Lonchura striata: one gene and its partners. The protein of the gene in region 2 binds, or shares a complex with, the protein of the main gene of each other region. Links are inferred from orthologs where the notes say so. Each region holds a gene or a part of one and is shown on either strand. Other genes may lie near its edges. The genes, in order: PFDN6, PDRG1, DNAAF10 and ASDURF.

What was found.
Region 1: PDRG1 (region 2) and PFDN6 share a complex: the UniProt entries of both Homo sapiens proteins name them as parts of the PAQosome complex. The link is inferred for Lonchura striata from reciprocal best matches to the Homo sapiens genes PDRG1 and PFDN6.
Region 3: PDRG1 (region 2) and DNAAF10 share a complex: the UniProt entries of both Homo sapiens proteins name them as parts of the PAQosome complex. The link is inferred for Lonchura striata from reciprocal best matches to the Homo sapiens genes PDRG1 and DNAAF10.
Region 4: PDRG1 (region 2) and ASDURF share a complex: the UniProt entries of both Homo sapiens proteins name them as parts of the PAQosome complex. The link is inferred for Lonchura striata from reciprocal best matches to the Homo sapiens genes PDRG1 and ASDURF.

What each region holds. Positions count from the first base shown.
Region 1 is NC_134631.1:618,029-625,739, reverse strand, and holds the start of PFDN6 (prefoldin subunit 6), read right to left. Parts: upstream 3,004-7,711; 5' UTR 2,964-3,003; coding exon 2,907-2,963; intron 1,802-2,906; coding exon 1,720-1,801; intron 1-1,719. UniProt on the Homo sapiens protein: Binds specifically to cytosolic chaperonin (c-CPN) and transfers target proteins to it. Binds to nascent polypeptide chain and promotes folding in an environment in which there are many competing pathways for nonnative proteins.
Region 2 is NC_134619.1:7,630,331-7,636,333, reverse strand, and holds PDRG1 (p53 and DNA damage-regulated protein 1), read left to right. Parts: upstream 1-3,889; 5' UTR 3,890-3,935; coding exon 3,936-4,019; intron 4,020-4,117; coding exon 4,118-4,193; intron 4,194-4,368; coding exon 4,369-4,443; intron 4,444-4,742; coding exon 4,743-4,823; intron 4,824-5,137; coding exon 5,138-5,220; 3' UTR 5,221-5,487; downstream 5,488-6,003. UniProt on the Homo sapiens protein: May play a role in chaperone-mediated protein folding.
Region 3 is NC_134605.1:2,910,364-2,917,258, forward strand, and holds the start of DNAAF10 (dynein axonemal assembly factor 10), read right to left. Parts: upstream 3,017-6,895; 5' UTR 2,999-3,016; coding exon 2,807-2,998; intron 1,879-2,806; coding exon 1,778-1,878; intron 700-1,777; coding exon 569-699; intron 107-568; coding exon 5-106; intron 1-4. Other genes in the region: RNA-binding protein PNO1, read left to right, coding at 3,078-3,248, 3,866-4,015, 5,790-5,873. UniProt on the Homo sapiens protein: Key assembly factor specifically required for the stability of axonemal dynein heavy chains in cytoplasm.
Region 4 is NC_134610.1:30,857,958-30,865,436, reverse strand, and holds the start of ASDURF (ASDURF protein), read left to right. Parts: upstream 1-4,466; 5' UTR 4,467-4,540; coding exon 4,541-4,615; intron 4,616-6,760; coding exon 6,761-6,814; intron 6,815-7,323; coding exon 7,324-7,399; intron 7,400-7,479.

The DNA of each region.
Region 1 (7,711 bases), on a different chromosome or scaffold from region 2:
AAATCGGGGTTCATGGGGACCCCAAAATCCCCCCAAAAACGGGTCAGGGGAACCCCAAAATCCCCCCAAAATTTTGGGGGGATTTTGGAGGATCCCAGGGGGGATTTTTGGGGTGATTTTTGGGGGTTTTTTTGGGGTTCCCAGGGCAGATTTTTGGGGTGATTTTTGGGGGGATTTTTGGGGGGATTTTTGGGGTTCCCAGGGCAGATTTTTGGGGTGATTTTTGGGAATTTTTGGGGGGATTTTTGGGGTTCCCAGGGCAGATTTGTTGGGTGATTTTGGGGGATTTTTGGGGTGACTTTGGGGGTTCCCAGGGCAGATTTTTGGGGTGATTTTTGGGGTGATTTTGGGGTTCCCAGGGCAGATTTTTGGGGTGATTTTGGGGGATTTTTGGGGGGATTTTTGGGGTTCCCAGGGCAGATTTTTGGGGGTATTTTTGGGGTTCCCAGGGCAGATTTTTGGGGGGATTTTTGGGGGCATTTTTGGGGTTCCCAGGGCAGATTTTTGGGGTTCCCAGGAGGATTTTTTGGGTGATTTTGGGGCTCCCAGGAGGAATTTTTTGGGGTGATTTTTGGGGTTCCCAGGGCAGATTTTTTGTGGTGATTTTGGCAGATTTTGGGGGTGATTTTGGGTGATTTTTGGGGTGATTTTGGGGGTTCCCAGGAGGATTTTTGGGGTGATTTTGGGGGTTCCCAGGGCAGATTTTTGGGGTGATTTTGGGGGATTTTTGGGGGAATTTTGGGGTTCCCAGGGCAGATTTTTGGAGTAATTTTGGGGCTCCCAGGAGGAATTTTTTGGGGTGATTTTGGGGGTTCCCAGGGCAGATTTTTTGGGGTGATTTTGGCAGATTTTGGGGGTGATTTTGGGGGTTCCCAGGGCAGATTTTTGGGGTGATTTTGGGTGATTTTTGGGGTGATTTTGGGGGTTCCCATGGCAGATTTTTGGGGTGATTTTGGGGGATTTTTGGGGGAATTTTGGGGTTCCCAGGGCAGATTTTTGGGGTGATTTTGGGGCTCCCAGGAGAAATTTTTTGGGGTGATTTTGGGGTTCCCACGGCAGATTTTTGGGGGGATTTTGGGGGATTTTTGGGGTGACTTTGGGGGTTCCCAGGGCAGATTTTTGGGATAATTTTGGGGCTCCCAGGAGGAATTTTTTGGGGTGATTTTGGGGTTCCCAGGGCAGAATTTTGTGGGGTTTTTTGGGGTGAATTCAGGGGTTCCCAGGGCAGATTTTTGGGGTGATTTTGGCAGATTTTGGGGGTGATTTTGGGTGATTTTTGGGATGATTTTGGGGTTCCCAGGGCAGATTTTTGGGGTGATTTTGGGGGATTTTTGGGGTAATTTTGGGGCTCCCAGGGCAGATTTTTGGGGTGATTTTAGGGGTTCCCAGGGCAGATTTTTGGGGTGATTTTAGGGGTTCCCAGGGCAGATTTTTTGTGGTGATTTTGGCAGATTTTGGGGGTGATTTTGGGTGATTTTTGGGGTTCCCAGGGCAGATTTTTGGGGTGATTTTGGGTGATTTTTGGGGTGATTTTGGGGCTCCCAGGGCAGATTTTTTGTGGTGATTTTGGGTGATTTTTGGGGTGATTTTGGGGTTCCCAGGGCAGATTTTTTGTGGTGATTTTGGCAGATTTTGGGGGTGATTTTGGGTGATTTTTGGGGTGATTTTGGGGCTCCCAGGGCAGATTTTTGGGGTGATTTTGGGGGATTTTGGGCTCACCTTTCTGCAGCTGTTGGTATTTCTCCAGCTCCGCCTGGAGCTTCTTCTGCAGCGGCTCCGCCATGGGGGCGATTTTGGGGGGCTGGGGGGGAATTTGGGGGCGATTTTGGGGGGCTGGGGGGGGTTTGGGGTCACCCCCCGCACCCCCAAAATCTCCCGTGACCCCTCAGAGACCCCCCCCAAAAAAAACAAAATCCAGGAGCCCCCAAAAAATCCAAAGCCCCAAAAATCCCAAATTCCCAAAAATCCAAACCCCACCCAGGACACCCCAAATTCCCCTCGAGACCCCCAAATTCCCCTCGGGACCCCCCCAAAATCCCCTTAAGACCCCCCAAATTCCTCTGGGGACCCCCAAATTTCCCTCAGGACCCCCAAATTCTCCTCGAGACCCCCCAAAATCCCCTCGGGACCCCCCAAAATTCATTCAGGACCCCCAAAATCCCCTCAAGGCCCCCAAATTCTCCTCGGGACCCCCCAAAATCCCCTCGGGACCCCCAAAATTCATTCAGGACCCCCAAAATCCCCTCAAGGCCCCCAAATTCTCCTCGGGACCCCCCAAAATCTCCTCGGGACCCCCCAAAATCCGCTCGGGACCCCCAAAATCCTCTGAGGTCCCCCAAAATCCCTTGGGAACCCCCAAAATTCCTCTCTGGATCCCCAAAATCCCCTCGGGACTCCCCAAAATTCTACTCGAGACCCCCAAAATCCCCTCGGGATCCCCAAAATCCCTTTGGGACCCCCCAAAATCCCCTCAGGACCCCTCAAAAATTCATTCAGGACCCCCAAATTCTCCTCAGGACCCCCAAAACCCCTCCCAAGACCCCCAAAATCCTCTCGGGACCCCCAAAATCCTCAGGGGACCCCCAAATTCCCCTCGTAACCACCCAAACCCCTTCAGGATCCCCAGATTCCCCTCGGGACCCCCGAAAACCCACTCGGGACCCCCAAAATCCCCTCGAGACCCCCAAAAATCCTTCCGGGACCCCCAAAATTCCCCCCAGAACCCCCAAATTCCCTCGCGGCCCCCCCTCAAATCTCCTCCTGCCCCACCCAAACCCCCCCAAGGCCCCTCCAGGACCCCCCCGCATTCCCAGGGGGACCCCAAGACCCTCCCGGGACCCCCAAAAATCCCCAAAATCCCCAAAAATCCCCCCAAAATCCCCCCTCGCCCCCCCCCCGTTCTTCACCCTCCGCTCCGCGCGCGGCCCCAACGCCTCGAGCCACGCCCCCTCCGCTCTGCGCATGCGCCGCAGCCCCAAACCACGCCCCCTCCTCTAAGCCCCGCCCACCGCCCCGTTTATGCTAATTATCCCGCCGTGGCCACGCCCCCTCCCCGCGCGCCGCCCGCCGCCCGAGCGCGCCCCCCCCCCCTCCCCCGGGGGTGGATTTTGGGGCGGATTTGGGGGTTTTTGGGGCCCGCCGGAGGTGAGAGGAGCGCGGGGAGGGCTGCGGGATGGGCCCGAGGCGGCGCAGGTGGCGGCGGAGGGCGGCCCGGGCGGCGCTGGCGGCGCTGGCGCTGGCGCTGCTGTGGCTGCAGGGCAGCGGCGCGGGCGAGGAGCTGCTGGCGGCGGCCCTGGCGGCCTGCGAGGAGGGGCGGGGGGCGTGGGGGGCGTGGGGGGACGGGGGAAAGCGGGGGGTGGGCGTGGGGGGCGCGGGGGGTGGGAGTTGGGGGGGCGAGGGGGTGAATGGGGGGCGTGGGGACGGGGGGGCGTGGCTTGGGGGAGAGGGGGCGTGGCTTGGGGGAGAAGGGGCGTGGCTTGGGGGAGAGGGGGCGTGGCTTGGGGAGGGGGGCGCGGGGGTTGGGGATGAGCGGGGGGGCGCTGGGAAATGGGGGCCGGGGGTCCTGAACGGCAGCTCGAGGGTCGAGGGTTGGGCTGGAAATGGGGGTCCCGGGGGTAGAATTGGGGGTCCTGCAGGTGGAAATGGGGGTCCCGGGGATAGAATTGGTGGTCCTGCAGTTGGAATTGGGGGTCCTGCAGTTGGAGTTGGGGGTCCGGGGGTTGGAATTGGGGGTCCCGGGGTTGGAATTGCGGGGCCTGACGTTCAAATTGGGGGTCCCGGGGGTGGAATTGGGGGTCCTGAGGTTGGAATTGGGGGTCCGGGGGTTGGAATTGGGGGTCCTGCAGTTGGAATTGGGGGTCCGGGGGTTGGATTTGTAGGTCCCGGGGGTGGAATTGGAGGTCCCGGGATTGGAATTGGGGGTCCCGGGGTTGGAATTGGGGGTCCCGGGGTTGGAACTGGAGGTGCCGGGATTGGAATTTGGGGTCCGGGTGTTGGAACTGGAGGTCCCGGGGTTCTCCTTGGTGGTCCCGCGGTCAGAACCGGCGCTCCCCAAACCCCCCCCGGCTGCGTGGGTCTCCTGTCGGGGGGCTCCGGCGTCCTCCCCGCTGCTCCCGGCGGCTCCCCGCTCACCCCCCGAGTCCTGCTGGCCCCGGCGCCGTGCTCATCCCCGGGCCCGTTCCTGCTGACGCTGGTCCCCAGCGCCCCGGCTCACCGGCAGCACCGCGCCGCCGTCCGCGACACCTGGGGCGGCCCGTGGGACCCATCCCGGGGCGACACCGGCGCTCCGCCCGCCCGCACCGTGTTCGTGCTGGGCTCCCCGGAGGATCCCCGCGACCAACCGGAGCTGCTGGCCGAGTGGCGGCGGCACGGCGACGTTTTACAGGGCGACTTCACCGACACCTACGGCAACTTAACCATCAAAACGCAGCTGCTGCTCCGCTGGGCTCTCGCCTGCTGCGGGAAATCGCCGTTCCTCCTCAAGGCGGACGACGATTCTTTCCTCAACATCCCGGCGCTCTCCGCCTTTTTGGCCGCGTGGCGCTCTCCGCCGCCTCGCCTTTACCTCGGCCGCGTCCACTGGCGGGTGGAGCCCAAGCGGGACCCGCGGAGCCGCCACCACGTCCCGCGTGGGGTGTACCCGCGCCGCCGGTACCCGCGGTACTGCAGCGGCGCCGCGTACGTGCTGTCGGCGGCGGCGGCGGGCGCGGTGCTGGCGGCGGGGCGGCGGCTGCCGGCGGCGCTGCCGGAGGACGCGTGGGTCGGGGCGGCGGCGGCGGAGGGCGGCGTGGCGCCGCGGCACTCGGCGCGCTTCGGCGGAGCGGCGGGGCCGCCGGCGGAGCGCTGCTGCCTGCGGGGGGCGCTGTTCAGCGCGCACCGGGTGCGGCCCGAGGGGATGCGGCGCCTCTGGGAGATGCTGGGCCGGGGGTGCGCGGGGCGGCCGGGGGTGATGCGGTGTCGGCTGCGGGAGGCGCTGGCGGGGTGGGGGTGGGGAGGGGGGGGGGGGAGTGACGGTAGAGGGGAGGGGGTGACGTCAGAGGGGAGGGGGGTGACGTCATGAAGGGAGGAAAAAAAAAAAAACCAATCCATAAGGGGATGGGGTGCTCCCCCCCCCCCCTCCCCAAAGCTCGTGTCTGGGGGGATACAGAGGTTGGGGGTGTGACGTCATGGGGAGTGACGTCATCAATGAGGGGAGTGACGTCATGGTGGGGGACACCCCCCCTCCATAAGGGGATGGGGTGCTCCCCCCTCCCTCCCCAAAGCTCGTGTCTGGGGGATACAGAGGTTGGGGGTGTGACGTCATTTGGGAGTGACGTCATCAATGAGGGGAGTGACGTCATGAAGGGGGACACCCCCCCAAACCTCGTGTCTGGGGGGATACAGAGGATGGGGGTGTGACGTCATGGGGAGTGACGTCATGAAGGGGGACACCCCCCCAAACCTCGTGTCTGGGGGGATACAGAGGTTGGGGGTGTGACGTCATGGGGAGTGACGTCAGAGGTGAGGGGAGTGACGTCATGAAGGGAGAAAACATCCCCCCCCCCTCCATAAGGGGATGGGGTGCTCCCCCCCCCCCAAAGCTCGTCTCTGGGGAGGTACAGAGGTCGGGGGTGTGACGTCATGGGGAGTGACGTCATCCATGAGGGGAGTGACGTCATCAATGAGGGGAGTGACGTCATGGTGGGGGACACCCCCCCTCCATAAGGGGATGGGGTGCTCCCCCCCCCCAAACCTTGTCTCGGGGGGGATACAGAGGTTGGGGGTGTGATGTCATAGGTGAGGGGAGTGACGTCATGAAGGGGGAAAACCCCCCCCCCCATATAGGGATGGGATCCCCCCCCCAAAGCTCGTGTCTGGGGGAGGATACAGAGGATGGGGGTGTGACGTCATGGGGAGTGACGTCATGAAGGGGGACACCCCCCATATAGGGATGGGATCCCCCCCCCAAACCTTGTCTCTGGGGGGATACAGAGGTTGGGGGTGTGACGTCATTTGGGAGTGACGTCATCAATGAGGGGAGTGACGTCATGAAGGGAGAAAACATCCCCCCCCCTCCATAAGGGGATGGGGTGCTCCCCCCCCCCCAAACCTTGTCTCTGGGGGGATACAGAGGTTGGGGGTGTGACGTCATAGGTGAGGGGAGTGACGTCATGAAGGGGGAAACCCCCCCCCCCATATAGGGATGGGATCCCCCCCCCAAACCTTGTCTCTGGGGGGATACAGAGGCTGGGGGTGTGACATCATGGGGAGTGACGTCATGAAGGGGGAACCCCCCCCCCCCATATAGGGATGGGATCCCCCCCCCAACCTCATGTCTGGGGGGATACAGAGGTTGGGGGTGTGACGTCATGGGGAGTGACGTCATGAAGGGGGAACCCCCCCCATATAGGGATGGGATCCCCCCCCCAAACCTTGTCTCTGGGGGGATACAGAGGTTGGGGGTGTGACGTCATTTGGGAGTGACGTCATCAATGAGGGGAGTGACGTCATCAATGAGGGGAGTGACGTCATGGTGGGGGACACCCCCCCTCCATAAGGGGATGGGGTGCTCCCCCCCCCCCCCCAAACCTTGTCTCTGGGGGATACAGAGGTTGGGGGTGCGACGTCATGGGGAGTGACGTCAGAGGTGAGGGGGTGACGTCAGAGGTGAGGGGGTGACGTCAGAGGTGGGGAAAACCCCACCCCCCCATAAGGGGATGGGGTGCTCCCCCCCCCCCTCCCCAAAGCTCGTGTCTGGGGGGATACAGAGGTTGGGGGTGTGACGTCATGGGGAGTGACGTCATGAAGGGGGACACCCCCCCCCCAAACCTCGTCTCTCGGGGGATACAGAGGTTGGGGGTGTGAGGTCATGGGGAGTGACGTCAGAGGTGAGGGAGTGACGTCATGGTGGGGGACACCCCCCCCTCCATAAGGGGATGGGGTGCTCCCCCCCCCCAAACCTTGTCTCGGGGGGGATACAGAGGTTGGGGGTGTGACGTCATAGGTGAGGGGAGTGACGTCATGAAGGGGGAAACCCCCCCCCCCATATAGGGATGGGATCCCCCCCCCAACCTCATGTCTGGGGGGATACAGAGGCTGGGGGTGTGACGTCATGGGGAGTGACGTCATCAATGAGGGAGTGACGTCATGGTGGGGGAAACCCCCCCTCCATAAGGGGATGGGATCCCCCCACCCCCCCCAACCTCATGTCTGGGGGGATACAGAGGTTGGGGGTGTGACGTCATAGGGAGTGACGTCATCGATGAGGGGAGTGACGTCATGAAGGGGGACACCCCCCCATATAGGGATGGGATCCCCCCCAAACCTCGTGTCTCGAGGGTACAGACATTTGGGGTGTGACGTCATGGGGTGTGACGTCATAGGTGAGGGGAGTGACGTCATTATGGGGGAACCTCCCCTCCCCCCCCAAACCTCGTGTCTGGGGGAGGATACAGAGGTTGGGGGTGTGACGTCATGGGGAGTGACGTCATCGGGAGTGTGACGTCATAAGTGAGGGAATCCCCCCCTTCTGCAGACCCCGCCCCCCCCCGTGTTTGGGGGTGACGTCACGGGGGTGTGACATCACGGGGTGTGACATCACAGGGGTGTGACATCACGGGGGTGTGACGTCATAGGGTAGTGACATCATGGGAAATCCCCCTGGGGATGGGGGTGACGTCATGGAGCAATGACGTCACAGGTGGGGACACGCCCCCCCCCGGGGGGTGACGAA
Region 2 (6,003 bases):
CCAGGCTTGGGCCGAGGTCCGGGTGGGTGGGGGCGTGGGTGCTTCTTCTCCCCTTGGGCTGAGACACGACCGCAGACCTCCAAAGCCCTGCCCGATGCAGCCAGAGAGGCCAGCAGGGACTGGCTGGGCTGCACCTGAGCCCTGCTTTGGAGGGAGACTCATAGAGTCATCATAGGATGGTTTGGGTTAGAAGGGACCTCAAAGATCAATTTGTGCCAACGCCTTACCAAGGGCAGGGACATCTTCCACTAGACCAGGCTGCTGAAAGAAGTTGTATCCTCTTTGAGAAGACCAAAGATGGGGTTTGGGAGTAGGCTTTCGTTGTTCCCGAAATGAAACTCGTGAAAGAGTTACATATGTTATTCCCCAGCCTTGGGAATGTCCCTGAAAGTGAAGTACCAAGGCCACTGGAGTCTGGGTGCACAAGAGCCCTGACGCTGCCCCGCTCCGGCGCTCCACCTCTCCGCTCGCTGCCCGCGGCAGCTCGGACACAAGGTGTCGGGCAGAGCGAGGGGCCGCACCCCGGGACAGGAGCTCAAAGGAGGAGCAGCGCTGTGCCGGCATCCCTGGCACTGCTGGGCGGGAAAGGGCTGCGAGGGAAAGGGCTTCCTCTCCTTTGTGGCGGGTCTCCAGGGAGGGTGACTGCATACAGCAGCTGCCTCCTGGAGGCAGCCCCAGCCCCCAGCCCCCGAGGCTCAGCCTGGTGCCTCTGCCTGCGGAGGAGCCCGGCTGGAGCCCGGCCCGTGGTCAGCACGCCGTGCCACATGGAGAGGAGGAGGGTGTTTGATCCCGGGAAACACAGCTAACTTCCAAATCCTGCCTTGTAGGATGGCCAGAGGGATCAGCACAAACCGGGGGTGGGGTAAGCCTGCATTCCTGGGATGAAATCCAGGGGGTGAAGATGTTACTCAGCACAAGGCAGTGGCCGGGCCCTCGGCAAGGCTCTCCCCGTGCTGCATGTATTAGCATCGATAATGAAACACCTCACCTTGAGATGCTCCTGACAGATCCCCTCCACAAATGCCTGCCTGGGGGAGGGGATGCTCCCAGCATCCCAAAGCCTGAAGAAAGCAGCCTTTCATCAATAACCAGGCAGGGCAGGGCCCCTTCCAAGGATGGGGTCCACTGGCCAGAGCCCCTGTCAATATTTGGCCACTCCAGACCTCTTTGGGCTTGGTCCCTGGGGGCTCTCTGTCTTGGCTGGGTGATGGAGCACAGACCACGTTACCATGACGGTGGGCACAGCGCCAGGGAGAGGGGACTTGGAAATCAGGGAGAGACAGACCCACCTTTCTCCCCTGACCCTGAAACACCCCCTCTGAAGCAGCAGTTAAAGATCCACAGCCTGAGAACATGGAGACCGTGGTTTGAAGTCTGATTTATCTTAACAACAGGCCCCAGCAGCCACATGAAAGAAGAAGAGAGAAAAAAAGCCTTATAAACATCCCTGAAGCTTCCTGTGCAGCTGCCAGCAGGCAGGGAGGGTTTCTGGCTGCATACAGAAAAGGGCTGCAAGGAAGAAAAAGGAACATGATGAAACCAAACCTGCTCTTTCCACAAAACACACAGCAAAGCAAAGCAGCTCCCGGCAGCGGGTGGGTGGCTGCTTCCCCTGAGTGCCCAGTTCCCAGGGAACTGGTCCAAATGGACCTCTGGTTCCAGTCTGAGTCCAGCCTCCAAGCAGAATGTCTGCCCCTGGTGCTGGCTCCAGGAGGAGAAATCCATGATGATTTGTGGCTGGCTCAGAGCTGGCTGGGGAGAGGCCGCAGAGTGCAGCACCAGCCACTTCTCACTGCCCTGAGAACGTTTTCCAGATGCCCATGGCTTGGCGATCCCTCAGCTGTGCTTCCCCCATGCCTGTGCTGAGCTGGAACCCACTTTCCCAGGGAGAGCAGCCCCTGCCCTTCCATGCAGCCCAACATTCCTGGCAAAACCCTGTCTTCACTGCACTGTCATTGGCAACCCCAGAGTCACTGTTTCTTTCCACTGCTGCCAGGACACAGCCAGCCTGCTCCCATCCCTGTTCCCATGTCACATCTCATCCCATCCCCATCCCCATCCCCATCCCCATCCCCATCCCCATCCCCATCCCCATCCCCATCCCCATCCCCATCCCCATCCCCATCCCCATCCCCATCCCCATCCCTCCTGCCCAGACTCTGAAAGCCCTCCCTCCTTCCTGCTTTTTCAGATCTCCAGCCAGCTGCTCCCACCGACAAATGAGCATTTCCTAGCATTGGCATCCAGCCCCAATCCCAGTACATTTTCTGGCTGATGTCAGGAAGGAATCTAACCCGAGTGTGGATCATTCCCAGCCTGGAGTGCCTGTGTGTGCCCCAGCAGTGGCTCCCACTGCTCCCCTGAAGCTTCTGTACTTCATTTGATGCAGCCACAGACAGAGATCTCAGTTAACTGAAACAAATGATCTTATGGGATTAGGGCCAGTAATCTTCCGATCTGGGTAATCTCCCTTAAGGGATTATTTGCCCACAGAAGTGTGGTGACCACCAGCCAGCTGCTGCCTTTCTCTCTCCATCCCTGTCCCCTGTGGTCCTCATCTCTGGCAGCTCAGAGGGGCCACAGCAGTGGGGTCACCACCTTTGCAGAGCTCCTTGTCAAATGAGTTTCATGAAGTGCATGTGCCAGGGCCCCCAAGTGCTGGGGCTCCTCCTCTCCCCAGCCCCTATTTGCTGCTTCAGGCAGGTTCTTGGGGCTCCCTCCCTTGGAAGCACTGATCTAAAGCAGATCAGAGGTCCCCCCACTATCACCAGGAAAGCAGCAGCTGGGGGGCACAGCCATGGTGGCAGAGATGGACAGCTGGGGACAGGGCTGCATTCAGAAACTTGAGATGCTGTTTCAAGGCTCTGTCCAGAGAAGGGACATGGGACATGAGAACCCATGTGCCCTGTTACCCGCCAGCCCTGGGTGTGCTCCTGGGGGCCCCTTTCCCTCTGCAGAGTGCACACGGTGAGGGTCTACCAGTCCTCACCATCAGTGCTGTGTCTCTGCATCTCCCACACCCCATTTTTGCAGCTCCTCTTGCTCATGGCTGGGTGGGGCAGAAAGAAAGGGATAAAAAGGATTTTGAGTGGCAATATATTTGCCTTCCTGCAGGCAGGGGTGTTCAGAGCAGCAGATGGATATGGTCGCCTGCCAGAGCATTCCCGGGACCAGCCCTTGCCTGACACAGACTGGGGGGCACCGGGGCTGGCTGAGGGTGAGTCAAGCTGCCGGGACCACAATTGGATCCAGTCCCTGGGGATGGCAGGTCCTGGACGCTGAGCTACAGATGAGCCACCAGCTGCACGAAAGGAAACCTGAGCTAATCGCCCCTCTCTGAGTGCCCTTTATTGCTTTCTGGGATGACAGAGAGGTCACCTGATGCTCCAAGGGCCCAGCTGCCAACAGCGGCACCGTGCTGGGAAAGCAGCGAGGAAGAGGAGACAGACGGCGGTGCTGGGGGCGAGGGGATGGGCTGTGAAAAGTGATAAATAATTCACACACAAAGGGACCAGGCAGGCCAGGGCTCTCAGCCCCTGTCCCTCAGGGCTGTGCCGAGCGGGGTGGGTTGGGGGCCGGCGACGGGGCCGAGACCCCCACTCCGGGGCTCGGTGCCACGCGGCCACACCGAGCCCTCCATCCTTCTGCCGGGCACAGAGGCAGCGCGGAGCCAACCGCGGCACCGCTAGTCTGCACTACGGAGGAGACCCCGCGCTGGCAGCGGGCACGTCCGTGCCAGTGCCAGCCCACGGCCGTTCCCGGCCGCTCTCGCCCCACGCGTGTTCGCGGCCCGTCGGTCCCGCCGCTCCCCGGCGGCGCTCCCGGCGGCGGCCGCCAGAGGGCGCGCTGAGCCCGGCGCCTCCGCCGCGGAACCGCCCGCGCGGCCGCGGCGGCGGCCCGGAGCCGGACGGCGGCGGACCCGGAGCGGCCCCGCCATGGCCCGGGACCCGGCCTTCGTGCTGCGCTACCTGGCCGAGGTGGAGGAGCTGGCCGAGGACGTGCTGGCGGCACGGCAGCAGGTACGGCCCGGCTCCGGCGGGCCTCCCCCGCCCCGCTCTGGCCCGCCGCCGGTAGCCCCGAGTCCCGGCCGCTCCCGCCTCTCTCGCTCCCGTTGCAGATCGTGGACCTGGACGTGAAGCGGAACCGCAACCGCGAGGCCCTGCGGGCGCTGCACAAGGACCCGGAGCCCGACGGTGAGGCCGGGCGGGCTGCGCCCACCGTGACCTCGTGGCCGCGGGTCGGGCTCCGCTGACAGCCCCTTCCCTTCCCTTCCCTTCCCTTCCCTTCCCTTCCCTTCCCTTCCCTTCCCTTCCCTTCCCTTCCCTTCCCTTCCCTTCCCTTCCCTTCCCTTCCCTTCCCTTCCCGCAGAGAAGGCCATGGTGTGTTTCGGGGGCATGTTCATCGAGCTGCCGAAGGCGAAGACCCGGGAGATGCTGCAGCAGGGTGAGCTCACCCCGAGGGCTCCGTGTAGCTTTAAGTGATTTAATCAGCACCGTAATTAACAAGATGTTGGCTCAATTAACGGACTTGTGCCCAGGGATGGGCTCTGAGGTGCCCAGAACCTCTCGAGAGGCTGATTCTGGCCCGAGCTGTGCCTTGGGAAGCACACGGGGAAGCTGCTCAGCCCCGGGGGTGGTGCAGGCAGGGTGGGACTCCCCTGTGCCTGTGTTGTGTCCCATGGGAAATTGAGCCTTCATCCCAGAGCCCACCGCAGTCCTCCTCACTCCCTCCTCTTATCCCAGACCAGGCAGAGCTGGATGAGGAGATAAACAACCTCCGGAAGGAGCTGCGGGTGAAGGTCAACCGGCTCTATGAAGCTCAGGGTAAACTCTCCCGCTGGAACCTGCTCAGTGCTTGGGAGCTGACTCGTGTATCAGCAGATTCCTTAGTTCCATGTGTTCCTGCAGCCTCTTTTCCACTGGTTTTGCAGTTCCCTCCCTGCCCCAGCAGCGTTGTTTGTCTCTGTGTGGAGCTGCCACCCAGCAGCATCCTAAACCCCCTCCAACCCTGTGCTGGGGTGACCCCACTTCAGCTTCCCGGGCTGTCCCTGCCCTCCCCACAGCCCCTCTCGAGTTGAACATGAACTGCTGCACTTCTTTGGTGACAAAATCCTGATGTTTTCAATGTGTTTTCTCAGGTAAACCTGAGCTGAAAGGGTTTAACCTGAATCCCATGTCTGCTGAGGAAATGAAGCTCATCAACCGCATCCTGGAGGGCTGAGGTGGCTGTGCCATTGTCACAGCGTGTTTGGCTGTCACTGTGGGCTCATGTTGCAGCAGCCACAGTCCTTGGGATTTGTAGGACGTTGGAGTGTCCAGAGCCCACCCAGGTGAGGGCCCTGGGAATCCTTTGCCTCCTCAGCTGCAGCTCTGCAGTTTCTTTGGACCACAAACCCTTTCCTGCTCTGTGCTGGGTCTTAGCACAGTGCTGGGCAAAGGCCCACAGCTGGGGTGGAAGTGGGATCATTAAAATCAGAGCAGTGAGACATTCCTGACTCCATGTGCATGTTCCTTGTTGGGGGTTTATGTGAACACTTCTGGGGCTTGGCTTCAGAGCTGCTCCTTTGTCACGCTGGGAACAGGAGTAGGAGGGATTGGGAATCCTCCACATGCCTGAAGCACAGAAGAGGAGTTGTGCACGCCTGTGGCATTCAAACAAAGCAAAGCTGTACATCTGAGGCACGTCAGGAATCTCTAAGGATGTGTAGGGAGGAGCAGGAGGAGGCAGCATCCTTTTAGTCTTGCTGGGAAAACATGTTCCACTGTTGGAGGGCAGGAGATGACAGAAATGAGGCTTTCAGGACTGGATGAACTCATAAAACTGGGGTATGTTTTAAAAAGCAGCCTGAGGAGGGCTGAGCAGGAATAGTCACTGAGTTTGTCTTGTAGTAAAAGGACAATTGATGTCATTAGTAGTAGTTTCTGCAAAGGTTTTAAAATTTGCTGTTTCTGTGCTCCTCCAAGTGATTAACTTGGTCAAGAACATAAGTTTTTAAAAAAATTA
Region 3 (6,895 bases), on a different chromosome or scaffold from region 2:
TTACCAAATGCCACAGTCCAGCAGTCTCTTTTGCTCTCTCCCTGTACAGATTCCATATTAGCCACGGGAATGTCATTCTGCCTTGGGTCCCACACCTTCACAGTTCCTGGGAAAGAAAGACAATAGATTTTCTATTAGGAATACAGTCATACTGTGTTCACCTTCCTAGAAAAGCCCTTTGCTTTCCATCCTAATCATTCAAAAGACAGTAGCATCTCTTTCAATTCTAGCAAGCCTCACTTTGTTTTGTGGATATAAGAAAAAAACCACAAAACCAAACAGAAACAGAGTGAAAGCATTTGTTAAGGATGCATTTTCTCTAGCTGATATTTTGCATTTATCATGGTTTGTGTTCCTTCTGTCTCACGACCAGTGACAACAGTACCTTTTGCTTATCTGTGGCTCTAGAAGAATTAGGGAAAATCAGTCCCAAGCAAGATTCAAGAGACAGTGTGCAAAGAACTAGTTGCAACAGCTTGTAACTAGTTCAGATGGCAGACTGTGCCCTGCCATCAAGAGCTTGCAGGCTCAGAGGAACTGGGAAGACTTGCAGAGTTCACTAACTCACCATCTCGACTGCCAGTCACAATTTCTGGTGCACCTTCCCCAATTCCTAAGCCACCTACACCATCTATACTGTTTATGATTTCCTTATGACCTTTCACAGAATACACTGGTATTTCAGGAGCTTCTAAATTCCTAGGCAAGAAAGAAAAAGAACAGAAAACATGGCATTTTTCCTTGACACTCAGGATTTGTATAAAAATGAAAGGAAACTTGAGCACAAATCATAAAAGCTCAGATTAACAGTGAGAACAAATATGGATATCACCACCAAGAACCACGAGTCTTTGATTCCTTCTTTGGCTACTACATTGGACTGCTCCAAAAGATTTTGCTCTGTTCTGGACCTCCCTGTTTGTAAAGGCAGTTGTGGGATTCACCACAGCAGCCACTCAGAGCCAGTTTTACACGCTGGGCTCAAAAATGAATCACACTACAGATCAAGATACTCTGTAAAAAGTACATAGACCTGAAAGAAGTACAGAAGTATCTGTACTTTCAGTAGGTCTATAAAATAACTTGATTCATTGATCCCCACCTAGCTCTGACTACTGCTCTCTAACTTCAGTGAATATTGTTGTATCCAGCCATAAGTTTCATGGTTCTTTCCCACAGATTCCCATTCTTTGAGAATCTTTCAGAATTTTATTTTACATTTCAGCTAGTAACTGTCCATGTAATTCTTGCTATTCCAACAAGAACCAGTAGTTCCTTGACACAGGGCAATATAATAATGATGGTAATAAAAAAATCTCCTTTTGACACTACTACTTAATTTGATCATAAATTTACCTAGATATTAATTACACCAATAATTCAGGGACCTAGAGGAAACATTTGATATGTCAAGATTAAAAAGATATATTTAATCTAGACAGGAAATTTAGGTTGAACACAACCTCTTGTTTGTACTCATGCATCCATTTAAAACCCTCTTTTCAGAGGACAACCTCCCAGAACTTTATCAGGTTTTTGTAGCTGCACAAAGAAGATGGGAGTGAAGCAGGACTGAATTAAACAATAATGCAGAATTCTGTGTTTTTTCTACAAAACAGGCATGGTTCAAATACAGTAGCCAGCAAAGCTTGCACTGGGTCCCAACCACGGGCAGCATGGAGAGCATCTCATGCAAAAATCCACAAACAGAAACCTCTGTTCAGACAGACATGGACAACATCAAGTGAAAACGCTTCCAGAGAATATCTGTGCTTACCATATGTTAAGGTTTCCATCGAAATCTCCTGTAGCTAAGTATCTTTGCTGCAGAGATGTAGCACCAAAAGTCCCACATTTTATAGGTTTGGGCTTTTCAATCTTTTAAAGAAAGGAAATGTCTGTGTCAGCACACGGAAAAGGCAAAATCATCCACAGGCTACGCGGATCTTAGGAGTGCACTGGGGCAAGTGTCAGCGAAACACAAGGGGATATTTGGTGCAAAATACTAATAAAATGCTATTGAAGGCAAGTTTGAGTTCAGTCCTTGTGCACAGAAAAGCAGAGGGTCCAGGTTGCTGGTCTAAAGCAAATATTTTGCTTGTAGCCTAGTGGGCGTTATGCACCTGAGGAACTGTTTAGCCTCAGAAGTGAACACTCAAAGGTCAATCTCGGAGAAAAAAATCAACCAAAGAAACAAACAAGCAAGCAAGCAAACATACAAAAACAACCCCAAAACCCAATCAAAAATCCAACCAAACTCCAACAACGAATAAAAAAATAAACCCAAACAAACGAAAGAACACAAAAAAAACCCAAAAAACAAACTCAGGCAATAACTCATATAACACAACACATAAAAAACCATAACAAAACACATAAAAACAACCTACAAAACACAGCAGTAAACAAAATCGCAGAACCACAGGCTCAGTTGGGCTGAAAAAGAGCCTTGAGATGGTCGAGTCCAACCTAGCACCGGCCACTACCTTGCCAACTAAACCAAGGCACCGAGTGCCAAATCCAGCCTTTCCTTCAACATCTCCGGGGACGGTGACTCCATCACCTCCCTGGGCAGCCCATTCCAATGTCTAATCCCCCCTTCCGTGCGGAAATCCTTCCCAAAGCCAATGGAAACCTCCGCGGCTGTAGTTGCCGGGGAGAAGAGTCAGGCTCCCACCCGGCACGCCCCTCCGGGGAGCTGCGGGGAGCGCTCAGCGCATCCCGGGGCGTTCAACACGCGGGTCGGCTCCTGCGTTTTCACCGCCGGGGCTGGGGACGAGCCGGTCCCGAGGGAGCCGGCGCTCACCTCCCGCAGCAGCTGCAGCCGCGCTCCGTTCAGCTCGTACAGCTGCAGCACGCCGGTGCCGCGGGCGGCGCTGCCCAGGCACAGCAGCCGGGCGCTGCGCGGCACCCACTTGCAGTCGAACACGGTGTAGCTCAGCGCCTGCTGGACGTGCGACACCACCTGCGGCCGCTCCGCTCCCAGCACCGCCGACATCCCTCCCCTTCCCCGCCGGCTGCCGGCGGAAACACTCGCCGCCCCCTTCCGCCGACAGCCGCACCACGTCCGGCTCGGCATGGAGAGCGGCGAGCCCGCGGCCGGCGGCTTCACCAGCGTCGTGTCCCGCCGCAGCCGCAGGAAGCGGCGGGCGGGCGGCGAGCGGGCGGCGGCAGCTGCCATGGACACGGCGGAGCCGCGACCCAGCAAGCGGCCGGCATTCCCGCCCGTGCCCGCCGAGGCGCTCGGGGTACGCGGGGCGAGGGGAAACTCCGGCCGGCCACGCGTGTCCGGCTCCCGGCCCCGGGTGTCCGGCTCCCGGCCCCGGGTGTCCGGCTCCCGGCCCCGCGTGTCCGCCCGCCGGCCCCGCGTGTTCGGCTTCCAGCCCCGCGTGTCCGCCCCCCGGCCCCGGGTGTCCCCCCGCCGGCCCCGCGTGTCCGGCTTCCAGCCCCGCGTGTCCGCCCCCCGGCCCCAGGTGTCCGGCCCCGCGTGTCCGCCTGCCGGCCCCGCGTGTCCGGCTTCCAGCCCCGCGTGTCCGCCCCCCGGCCCCGCATGTCCGGCCGCCGGCCCCGGGTGTCCGCCTGCCGGCCCCGCGTGTCCGGCTCCCGGCCCCGGGTGTCCGCCCCCCGGCCCCGGGTGTCCGGCCCCGCGTGTCCGGCCTCCAGCCCCGCGTGTCCGGCTCCCGGCCCCGGGTGTCCGGCTCCCGGCCCCGGGTGTCCGGCTTCCAGCCCCGCGTGTCCGGCTTCCAGCCCCGCGTGTCCGGCTTCCAGCCCCGCGTGTCCGGCTCCGGGTGTCCGCCCGCCGGCCCCGCGTGTCCGCCGCCCCCCGGCCCCGACTCACGGCCGGCTGTGTCTCGCCCCCCCGCAGGTTGGGAAAGGCGAGCTGAGGAAGATCCCCGTGCCGGCCAACAGGTACACGCCGCTCAAGGAGAACTGGATGAAGATATTCACGCCCATTGTGGAGCATCTGCAGCTTCAGATCAGGTTCAACTTGAAAACGAGGAATGTTGAGATCAAGGTAAGGGGAGCGGCTCCTTGGGGCTTTCCCCGGTGGGAAAAGGTTGTGTTAGAGCTCGCAGCTCCTTCCCTGTGTGAAGGGGCTCCAGGGGAGCTGGAGAGGGGCTGTTTGTGACAGGACAAGGAGTCACGTTTACAAATTGAAAGAGGGGAAGTTTAGTTTGGAGATGTTGGGAAGACTTGTTTTACTGTGAGAGTGGTGAGACGCTGGGACAGGTTGCCCGGGACTACCCCAGCCCTGTTCAAAGCAGGCTGGATAAGGCTTTGAGCAGCCTGGTTTAGAGACATTGTCCCTGCCCGTGGCAGGGGGTTGGGACTAGGTGGTTTTACGGTCCACTCCAACCCCTTACCATTCTCTGATTCTGTTACATGTGATAATTTGTGCAAATAAAATTGTCGTATATTTTATAATTATAAATGTTAAGATATAGTCTTACAAGAAGTTTTTAAAACTCAAGCCAGCAACAAGGATTGCAAAACAATGTCAAAACCACCTGGACAGAAGAGGGAGGACTCCATTCACAAGCAATTGAACGTGGCCAGCCCGGAGATGGATCACCCATCAAGGTGGTCCAAGGAACACCCGGACGATAAATATGTGATAAATATCCGAAATTGAGATAGCCAGAGCCATCAGGGAGATACATCTCAATACCAAATTCTGGGAGCATAGGAAACCTTCTACTGCAGCAGTCAAACCTGTGTCTCACTCAGCGCCAACACCCGGGCTCACCACTGACCTTTTTTTTTTATAATGGCTTTTCTTTTTTTGTTTTTTTTTTTTTTTGTTATTCTATAAATTTATATTTGATGCATTTAATAGATTTTCTTAAATTAATAAATTGGATCTTTCACTTATAACAATTCTGCCTCCTGAAAAGCAGTGCCTCTCCTCATGTGTGTTCTTGGTCCGCAGGGTAAAGACTAGAGAAGTCGTAAATCCCACATAATGCTTGGAAAAATGGAAACTGTGTGGTGTCACCTCCCTGGGGACCAAAATCTGAAAATGATTGCTTAGTAGTTAGTGCAAGTAAAATCCAAATCTGTTCCAGAAGGAGCCAGCAGAAGCTGGGAGAGTGTTCTGTTTTTGTAGGAGAAAGTTATGTACTATAGAAAGTTGTGTACATTAAGAAGAATTTTCATCCATGTCTTAGATATGACTTTGTAATTCAATGTTTTCTGGCTATTTAAGGTTACCAAATATTGACCTGACAGTAAACAGTATCTTACATGGGGGCACTGAATCTCCTCCTGCCTTTGTTTGTGGCAGATGATAAGGGCTCATAGTTTAATAGCATGTGCTTTTTCTTTAATGGATTGCACTGGAATACCTTAGGGCACAGACAGCAGTATAAACCTGTAAATCTTGTAGATGCTCATTCTTTATCCTTATTCCTCCTGAGGAATGTTCACACCAAGAGTTTTTAAGGGCATATCTAAAGTTTTGACATACGATTCACTGATTTCATTTTGCCCATATCTATCATGAATATAAAACTTTGAAATTAATTTCATTCACCTGCTAAGGCATATTTAGAATATTGTCATTAGAATAACTCTCCTGCCATCACCATCCTTCTCTTTTTCCTGCTGTTTGCTGCTGGAGTTTAGTTTGTGTTGGTTTTGGGTTTTCTCCACCAAGAGTTCTACTCAGTCAGTGGTGGTGTGGATTTTCAGCAGCTTTTCTCTCCCCTCCAAGCACAGGCTGATCACTTCTAAGTTCTGCTCCTAACTTGCCTGGTCTTAATTTGCAAACATAACTTCTTGTCTTGCAGACTTGTCAAGAGACAAAGGATCTCAGTGCTCTGACGAAAGCAGCTGATTTTGTGAAAGCCTTCATACTTGGATTTCAAGTAGAGGTGAGTCTCCCAACAACCAGATTGTGAGAGATTGCTCCACTTTACTGATCTGTCCCTGGCCTCTCTGCAAATTTCAGTAAGAAATAAAGAGAAAAATCCTTAGGTGGTTTTCTAGAAATCAATGTTTTCTAGAATTGTGACTGGAGTAGACATCCAGTTACTTAAGATAATGCTGGATAAAAAAGTAGCCGTCAAACAGCACGTAAACAGAGAACATAGGCAAGCATAAAGCAATATCCTCTCTCTGAGGTCCTCTGCATTGGTAGACTCTGCTCATTTTTCTTAAGCCCAAGCCAATAACCTCCAGTCTGTGCAAAACTCACAGAATCACAGAATTAACTAGGTCAGAAAAGACCTTGGAGATCATCAAGTTCAAGCTATGACTTTATCAACTAAACCAGGGCACTGAGTGCCACATCCAGTCGTTTTTTAAACACCTCCAGGGATGGTGACTCTACCAGCTCCCTGGGAAACCCATTCCAATGTCCAGTCACTCTTTCTGTGAAGAACTTCCTAATACCCAGCCTAAACTTTCCCTGGTGCAGCTTGAGGCTGTGTCCTCTTGTCCTGCTGCTGGTTGCCTGGGAGGAGAGGCTGACCCCCACCTGGCTACACCCTCCTTCCAGGCAGCTCTAGACAGTGCTGAGGTCTCCCCTGATCCTCCTTTTCTCCAGCCTAAATCCCTCCAGCTCCCTCCATCACTTCTCATCACTTTTGCTCCACACTCTTCATCACCTTGCTGCCCTTCTCTGGGCACATTCGAGCATCTCAAAGTCCTTCTTAAATTGGTGTGCCCAAAACAGTACTGACATGATACTCAAGGTGTGGCCTCACCAGTGCCAAGTACAGGAGCAGAATGCCTTCCTTCCCTGGTGCTGCTGGCCACTGTTCCTGACACAGGCCAGCATGCCATTTGCTCCTTGGCCATGTGGGTACACTGCTGGCTTGTGTTCAGCCAGCTGCCAGCTGAACTCCCAGCTCCCTTTCTGCCTGGCTGCTGTCCAGCCATTCTGTCCCCAGCC
Region 4 (7,479 bases), on a different chromosome or scaffold from region 2:
CATATGCCTGCTCTTTGGTGGCACCAGCAGAAGAGCTTCCAGCATCCAGGCACCAGGCTTCCATCTTCATACTGCAAACAAAATATTTGTTTTGTAAGACACAGCATTTGATTTTTTTAAGGTCCCTGAACATTCCACTGCTCAAAATGTGTATCTGGAACTCTGATCCCATATTCAAAGTAGTTACTGCAGCAAACCTGTGCATTGGTTATTCAGAGTACGTGAGGGACTGCCCTGCAACAGACAACCCCAAATCTCATAGTTCTGCATTTCTAAGTGAAACTAGCACTAACATGAACTTAACTCTCTTAAAGTCTAACAAAGTGCACAACAAATTGTTCTGCACTAAGGAAGGAAAAATTATGAAAATTAAACGTCAAACTGTCTTCTCAGCTACAGCAACATAAGACCTTGAGAAAGGCTCTCATTAGAGCTACTTCAGTTTTATACTGTAGAACAGAGTGAACTTGGAAACGTCTATTTTTAAATCCACTCATACTTAAATCACAGATGAAAGACTGCTGGGAGTATTTTACAAATAAGTTGTTTGGTTCAGTACTTTCAGAAGCTTTGAGAGATGCAATCAGATTGTCAAAAACTAATGAGAGACTGATGATAGTTCTCAGCTACTTTGACAACAGCCTTAAAATCTTCCATGTGAAAGTGATGAAATTCTGCTTCTAATCATAAAATGAATAATTTAATACTTGTGAACTACATAGATTTTTTGTGCAAATGAGTTCTAAGATTGCTTTGACAGTGTATCAGAAGTTAAGTGCTAAAAAAACTGACTTCAACACCGTAAAAGTGCTCAGACTTCTTCTTTTATTTGTGGTGACAGGACTTTTAAAGTAGAATGATTATAGGTTTTGCAAGGTTCCTTGTGTCATTGACAATCTAGGTACTTAACCTAAGGAAACAAACTACAACTTTGCCTAGATTCCAGATAACCGGGTGTGTAAGTTAACCTAACTTCCTTCAAATCCTGATGTCTCAGAAGAATTAGCAAAAGGTTTACCATAAAGCAAACCCAACTATTTTCAACTATTTTCGTTTTCTTAGACTGGTATAAATTAGCAAATTATTAAAATACAGGTTCAACTGTGAAATTAACACAGCTTGATGTTACAAATCAGAATCTACTTATTTGGATTATGGTGATACAGTATCTGAATACAAAATAAGCTAGTGTCAGAACTGAGGATGCTCCAAAACAGAAAAAAACCTATATAAAAGCAATATCCTCTGACTGTGCTGCTCTCTCCTCCTAAGAGACTTCATCCACCTGTCTTACATGGCTGGCCCCACTCTTGACTGTCTGAGCAGCCAGCACAGCTTCAGCTTGCTCTCTTGTGGCCAACATTAGAGCTACAATTATCCTATTCCCCTCCAAGCACCTCTGTGACTGGTTCTTCTAAAGCATGACAAGTTTCCTCAGAGTACAATCACTTACAGGTGAACCTCATAAACCACTCAGAGTTGAACCCACAATTGATTATGGTGGCTTAACATGTTCCCAAGCATCAGCTGAGAGATACAGAATTGAGTGCATGAGGATTTCCAGCCCACAGCAAAAACCAGGGAAACTTTGAGGCTGCTAAGCCTCCAAGGCAGTATCAGTCCTACCCTGTGCCTCACAGCTGGAAAATCCTCTGACACAAATATACTGTCAACATCATGAACAGAGGTCTTCAAGACTTGACAGTGTTATCACAAGGATGGCCTCACCTCTTCAGCATGGTTTTAGCAGCAGCCTTTTGGAGCTTGAGCTTGGTTATTTAAAGGTTACTGTTTTGGCCATGCATTTGCTAACAGGTCACTGCAACTTCAGAGATTTTCTGGCATCAGTAACTACTTCTGGTTTTTAGCTGTTTAAATGACTTGTTGGGTAATTTCTGTTATTTAAAAAATATTTTTAAAGATGCCAGATACTGAAAGGTGAGGGCTTTAAAAGACTGAAATATTATTTGATACTTTATTAACATTGTATCGGGCATTGTTAACCTCCAGAAACAGTTTTATGCTAGTAAAAGAAAAATAGTTTAGAGCACCGAAGTTGGCACAAGTGCACAGACACAAGCAGAATGACCAGAGATGTATCACTGAATGACATTTCCTGCTTAGCTGTCAGCCAGATGAGCTCTAAGTGCCCTCCCCAGCTCTCAGGAGTAACAGTGCAGGCACATTGCAACACCAGAACTGCAGCAGCCCTGAAACAAACTTGAATGGAGAAAATACTGCTCTGCGCAGGGAGTGCAAAGGTGCCAACATTTCCCTTTGCTGACTTGCAAACACAGCGGGTCTTATAGTGGGTTTGACTGTAATTTCAGGAGTGATCTTGTGACATGAATTCATTCATTTTAAAAGGAACTGTCAAAAGCCCACTCCATATCAGTAGAAGAATCATTAAAACCATTCCACATTTGCTATTATGCCTCAAAACCATTATCATCACTCTTCTGAAACAGTCAATAACACTGAGTGATCAGGTTTTGATTAATAAACATTAACAGCATTTATTACTGAACATAAAAAGGATAATCAGTGCAGAAATTACACTTTGACTACTGTGTTACTTGATCATCAACCTTTGTAACACATGAACAACAAATAAAACTTGGGCAGCAGAGGGTTGGGAGTAACTCAGATTAAACACATTACTCACTAGAACAACCAGTGACAAACTACAAAGCACACTGAGCAATAGCACCAAAACTGATCTATGTGACCCAGATATGTGAATTTCTTATAGAAGTCAAAGGACAAGCCCCAGAACCATTCCACCCCCTGGGTAACAACTCCCCAGCAGCTTCAGCTGCTCTGCTTTGGGACTGCTGGAATCACAGAGCACTGTGCACTGCTGAGAAAAACAGATCAGGTCCCTCACCTGTCCCTCACACAGCCCCACACCCAGCCGTGGTGAGGCAGGGCTGGAGGCACAAGTGTGTGCTCAGAGGTGGGGGGAAGAGCAGGAATGACCTTTCAGACAAGTGTAACCTCAGTTTCTCTTTCTGTTAAAAGCAAATAAGCACAACTTTTGCAAGTTAGTATATTGACAAATATTCCTATAGCCAAATTGTCTTTCTTCATCCTTCTGCTAGGAGCCAAAATCCTTGTTCTTCCTATACGGCTTCCAAAAATTTTGATCAACATTACAGACATTCCAACCAAGCTCATGGATACAACCAAGGTGCAATCTTGCTCACAAACTCTAAGTTACCAAAATATATAATATATATGATTATGTGAGATTAAAGAAAATAAAGGCAACACTCTCTTACTACAGTTGCAAATATTTCAAATGGTTCATGAAAATTTGAACTATATTTGCACTGCAGTCAGTACCACAAGGACCACAAGTGGGATAGAAATCTCATAAAATCCTATAACTGAGCAATCGGTAGCAGTCTGTAAGTTTGGATTACTCTTGAGTGTTTAGAATAATATACAATGTTTAAAAAGAAGGAAAGGTATTAAAATGAGACAATGATGTATTTATTAAGACACGTAGACATATGCATCACTGTGACATATCTATAGCAGAATGGAAGAGACAAAGAAACGTTAAGATCACCTTAGGTGGACGGTCTTAAACATCCATCTTGTATAATAATAAAGTCATAGAATCCTGGAATGCTTTGGGTTGGAAAGGACTTCAAAGATTATCTCATTTCAATCCCCTGCAATGGGCAGGGACTAGACCAGGTGTCTCAGAGTCCTGTGCAACCTGGCCTTGAACACTTGCAAGGATGGAGCTGCCACAGGTTCTCTGGGCAACTGTGTGTCTCACATCCCCCGTGTAAGCAATTTCCATCCATCCAGTATCTAACCTAAATCTGCCCTCTGCCAGTTTTAGTCCATTCCCCCTTGTCCTGTCACTACATGACCCTCTAAAAAGTCCTTCTCTTTCTTGTAGAAACATATGCTAATAATGAACATAATGAAACATACGATCCTAATGTCTGTAAATAGTGTAAATTCATATCTCTTCTGGAATACCTTTAAGCAAACCGCTTAAAGGGGTTTGAGAGCCCGCTGCCGACAGTAGCCCGGGTTCACACCACACCAAGCCGACACGCTGCACAAGGAGCACAGCTGCCAAGCCTCATTCCAAGCGTCTTCTCCACCTTGGGCCTGTGCCGATGCCCTCCCGGACCGGCTCCCAGGAGCTCCGTGGGCACGGCACGGCACGGCGCGGCACGGCGCGGCACGGCGCGGCACGGCGCGGCACGGCGCGGCCGCCGCACTCCCGGCTCCGCCCGGCCGGGGGCGCGAGCTCCCTCAGCACTCGCGCCGGCCGGCCCGCGCCCCGCGCGTGCTCTGCCGCGCCTGCTGATTGGTGTCCCGTCAGGCGCGTGCTCTGCCGCGCCTGCTGATTGGTGTCCCGTCAGGCGCGCGCTCTGCCGCGCCTGCTGATTGGTGTTCCGTCAGGCGCGTGCTCTGCCGCGCCTGCTGATTGGTGGCGCTGTGCGCGCGCGCGCCCCGGGGCGGCAGCTGCGCAGGCTGCGTGGGCAGTGCGGCTGTCGGCGCGGTCGGGGCCATGTCGGGCCGCCCGGCGCGGCAGGAGGATGGGGAGAGCGCGGCGCTGCGCCACAAGGAGGAACTGAGCCGGCGGGTGAGGGGAGGCGGCCCCGCGGGGCCCGGTGCCGGGGTCCGGGCCGAGGCGCGGGGGCTCCTGGAGCCTGCTGCCTCGGGTGCGAGCAGCGTGAGGAAGAGGAGGGAGGGTGCCGTCTGGGACCGGGGCTCCTGTGCCCGGGGTTGCTCAGGCCCCGAGAGCGGCCTGCATTTAGCGAGCCCGCGTTGCCTCGCTAATAGCTCGCTCGTCGGATTGGTATTTTGGATCTTACTGCTCCAAATTGAGCTTGAAATGGCAAGTGAGGCGCACTGAGGGTTTTTTCACAGAATATCATGAGTTTCAAGAGACGTCTAGTGGTCGAGTCTAACTAACTCTGGCGCTGCGGAGAACACCCCAAGAATCACACCGAGGGCCTGAGCACGTTATCCAAAGGCTGTTTGAACTCTGTCATGCTGGTGCTGAGACCACTTTCCCTGGGGAGTTCAATGCCTAATCACCCTCTGGGTGAAGAATCTTTTCCTTGTATCCAGTCTAAACATCCCTGACCCTGCTCCAGGCCGTTCTCTGTGGTACTGTCACTGGTTACCAGTGAGAAGAGACCAGTGTCTTCCTCTGCACTTCCCCACCTAAGGAACTTGTAGACTGCTGTGAGCTCTCCCCTTAGTCTCCTCCAAGCTGGACAAATCAAGTATCCTCACCCGCTTCTCAAATGGCTTCATCTTTATCCTTGTTCATCATTATCTGCCCAAAATGTCTGAAGATATTTCAGCCATAGAGGCAGATGCTCCTAATTTATCTGTTCCTTCCTTCCTTGTCCCCACAGCTTTGTTCAGTATGCAATCTGCCAAGCCCTGTGGAACTTTCACTCCAAAAAAACCTCATATCAATTTACCTGTATTCCAATAGAGACTACAGGGAAGCCAGAGAAGGGGCTTTTTGTCAGGAACTGTAGTGGTAAGACAAGGAGTAATGTGTACAAATTGAAAGAGGGCAACTTTGGGTTAGATACTCGGCAGAAATTTTTTGCTGTGAGAATGGTGAGGCACTTACACATTTTGCCCCGAGAAGCTGTGGATGCCCCAACCCTGGAAGTGTTCAAGGCCAGGGTGGATAAGGCCTGGAGCAGCCAGGTCTAGTGGGATGTACCCATGGCAGGAAGCAGGTTGGGTCTAGATGATCTTTAAAGTCCTTTGCAACCCCTTAATATTATGTGATTATATTAAAATAAATTACTTCTGTGTGGCCATGTATAGACAGTGATGCTTTTAGTTGCTTGGAAGCTACAAAGCTGGGACATCAAAGAGCTACAGGTTTTCACTTCTGTTGTGCCTAAGTGGCTGGTTTAGTCTGGCAGAGGATGGCTCTGCTGCTTTGCCTTGTTGGTGTTGTAGATACCAGAGATTGATGTAGCTGCTGGAAAAGTTGTAACTTTCAGTGTGCCATACAGTTTGGCTGACCTCACTCCGTGGCAGCTTGCTACTGTTGTACCAGTTCCAGGAGACACAAAGGAAGAGCAGAGAAACCCATGTTTGCTTCTAACAAAAAGCATTGTGCCCTCTGAACAGATTTTGTTTCAATTTTTGGCATTTGCAACTTCTTCTGATTACTCTTTAGCTGTGAACTCTTTAGTTCACAGCTGCCATTGTAAAAGAAAATGGGAATATCTGCCACATCTGTCAGTGCAGAACAGAGTGGTAAATCCCACTAAGGAAGTTAATATAGAAATCTAGAGCAATAAAAAGGCTCCCATTGCTCCTAATACAGTTCTAGAGTGTTTGTATTTTCATTAATTTCCTTTTGAATCTGGAGCATACCTATCATTATGAAGTGTATTCTTGATATTATGCTAATTTTTAAAAGTTATTTGATGTTTTATTAGTTGTGTACATGTTCTCTTCCGAGGGGGGGAAAATGTGCTCTCTGATTATAAATAGCTGTAGCTACTCTGGCTTCCCAGAGGCTTTTGAGGGGAGGAGAAATACCAATATATGCAACATAGCCTGTTTCTAGAGAAATTAAGTATGTAATTTTTATACTTACTTTGTCTTCATTGATTCATGTGGAGAACAGCAGCTATACATGCATGTTGCTGTCTTAAAATATCAGTAGACATGCTCACCACTGGGATTGTGATATGATGTCTTGTCTTTATCATTAAAATCAAATGCATCTTTTGGCTTTCAGATTAAAGAGCAGAAGGTTGTAGTTGATGAGCTTTCTAATTTGAAGAAGAACCGGGTAAGGATTTACAAATTTGCTTTTAACTATTTAATTTCAGCAGAGAAATTAAAACATAAAGACAAGAAGGACAACAAAATCAGAGCATGCTGTCTTTAATTTGTTGTAATCTGGATTTTAATAAACATGTGGTCTGCTGTGCTCAGAATAATTTGTCCTGCAAATTATTTGATCATGTATACTTGGGGCTTTTTTATGTTTTGAGTTATTTCATTAAAATTTTTGAGTTTATTACATGGATTCATGAGGTATTCTTACTTTTTCTATGCTTTTGTTTAAAATAGAATGTGATCCCTTGTGGATGAGGAAAAGAGAAATTCAAAATTGTCTTAGGCTGAGCATTAAATGCTTTTGATAGTACAGCATTAGAATGCTGGTGTTCACAGGGCAGAACTTACACCTTCACTTTTATACCAGGAGTGTCTCTTTGGACCCACAGCAGCTTCTGCTGCAGTGTGGTTCCAGAATCTGCTGCTTTGACTTAATACAGTGTGGGTTTTGTTTTACAGAAAGTTTATAAACAGCAACCCAATAGCAACATATTCTTCCTTGCAGACCGGACAGAAATGCTGTCTCAGTGCAAAAGTAAGTTTGCAGTGTTCAAGTATCTCAAATAGTTAATGTTTAAAAGCTTATTTGTAGCTGATTTGAAAGGTGTATTAAAA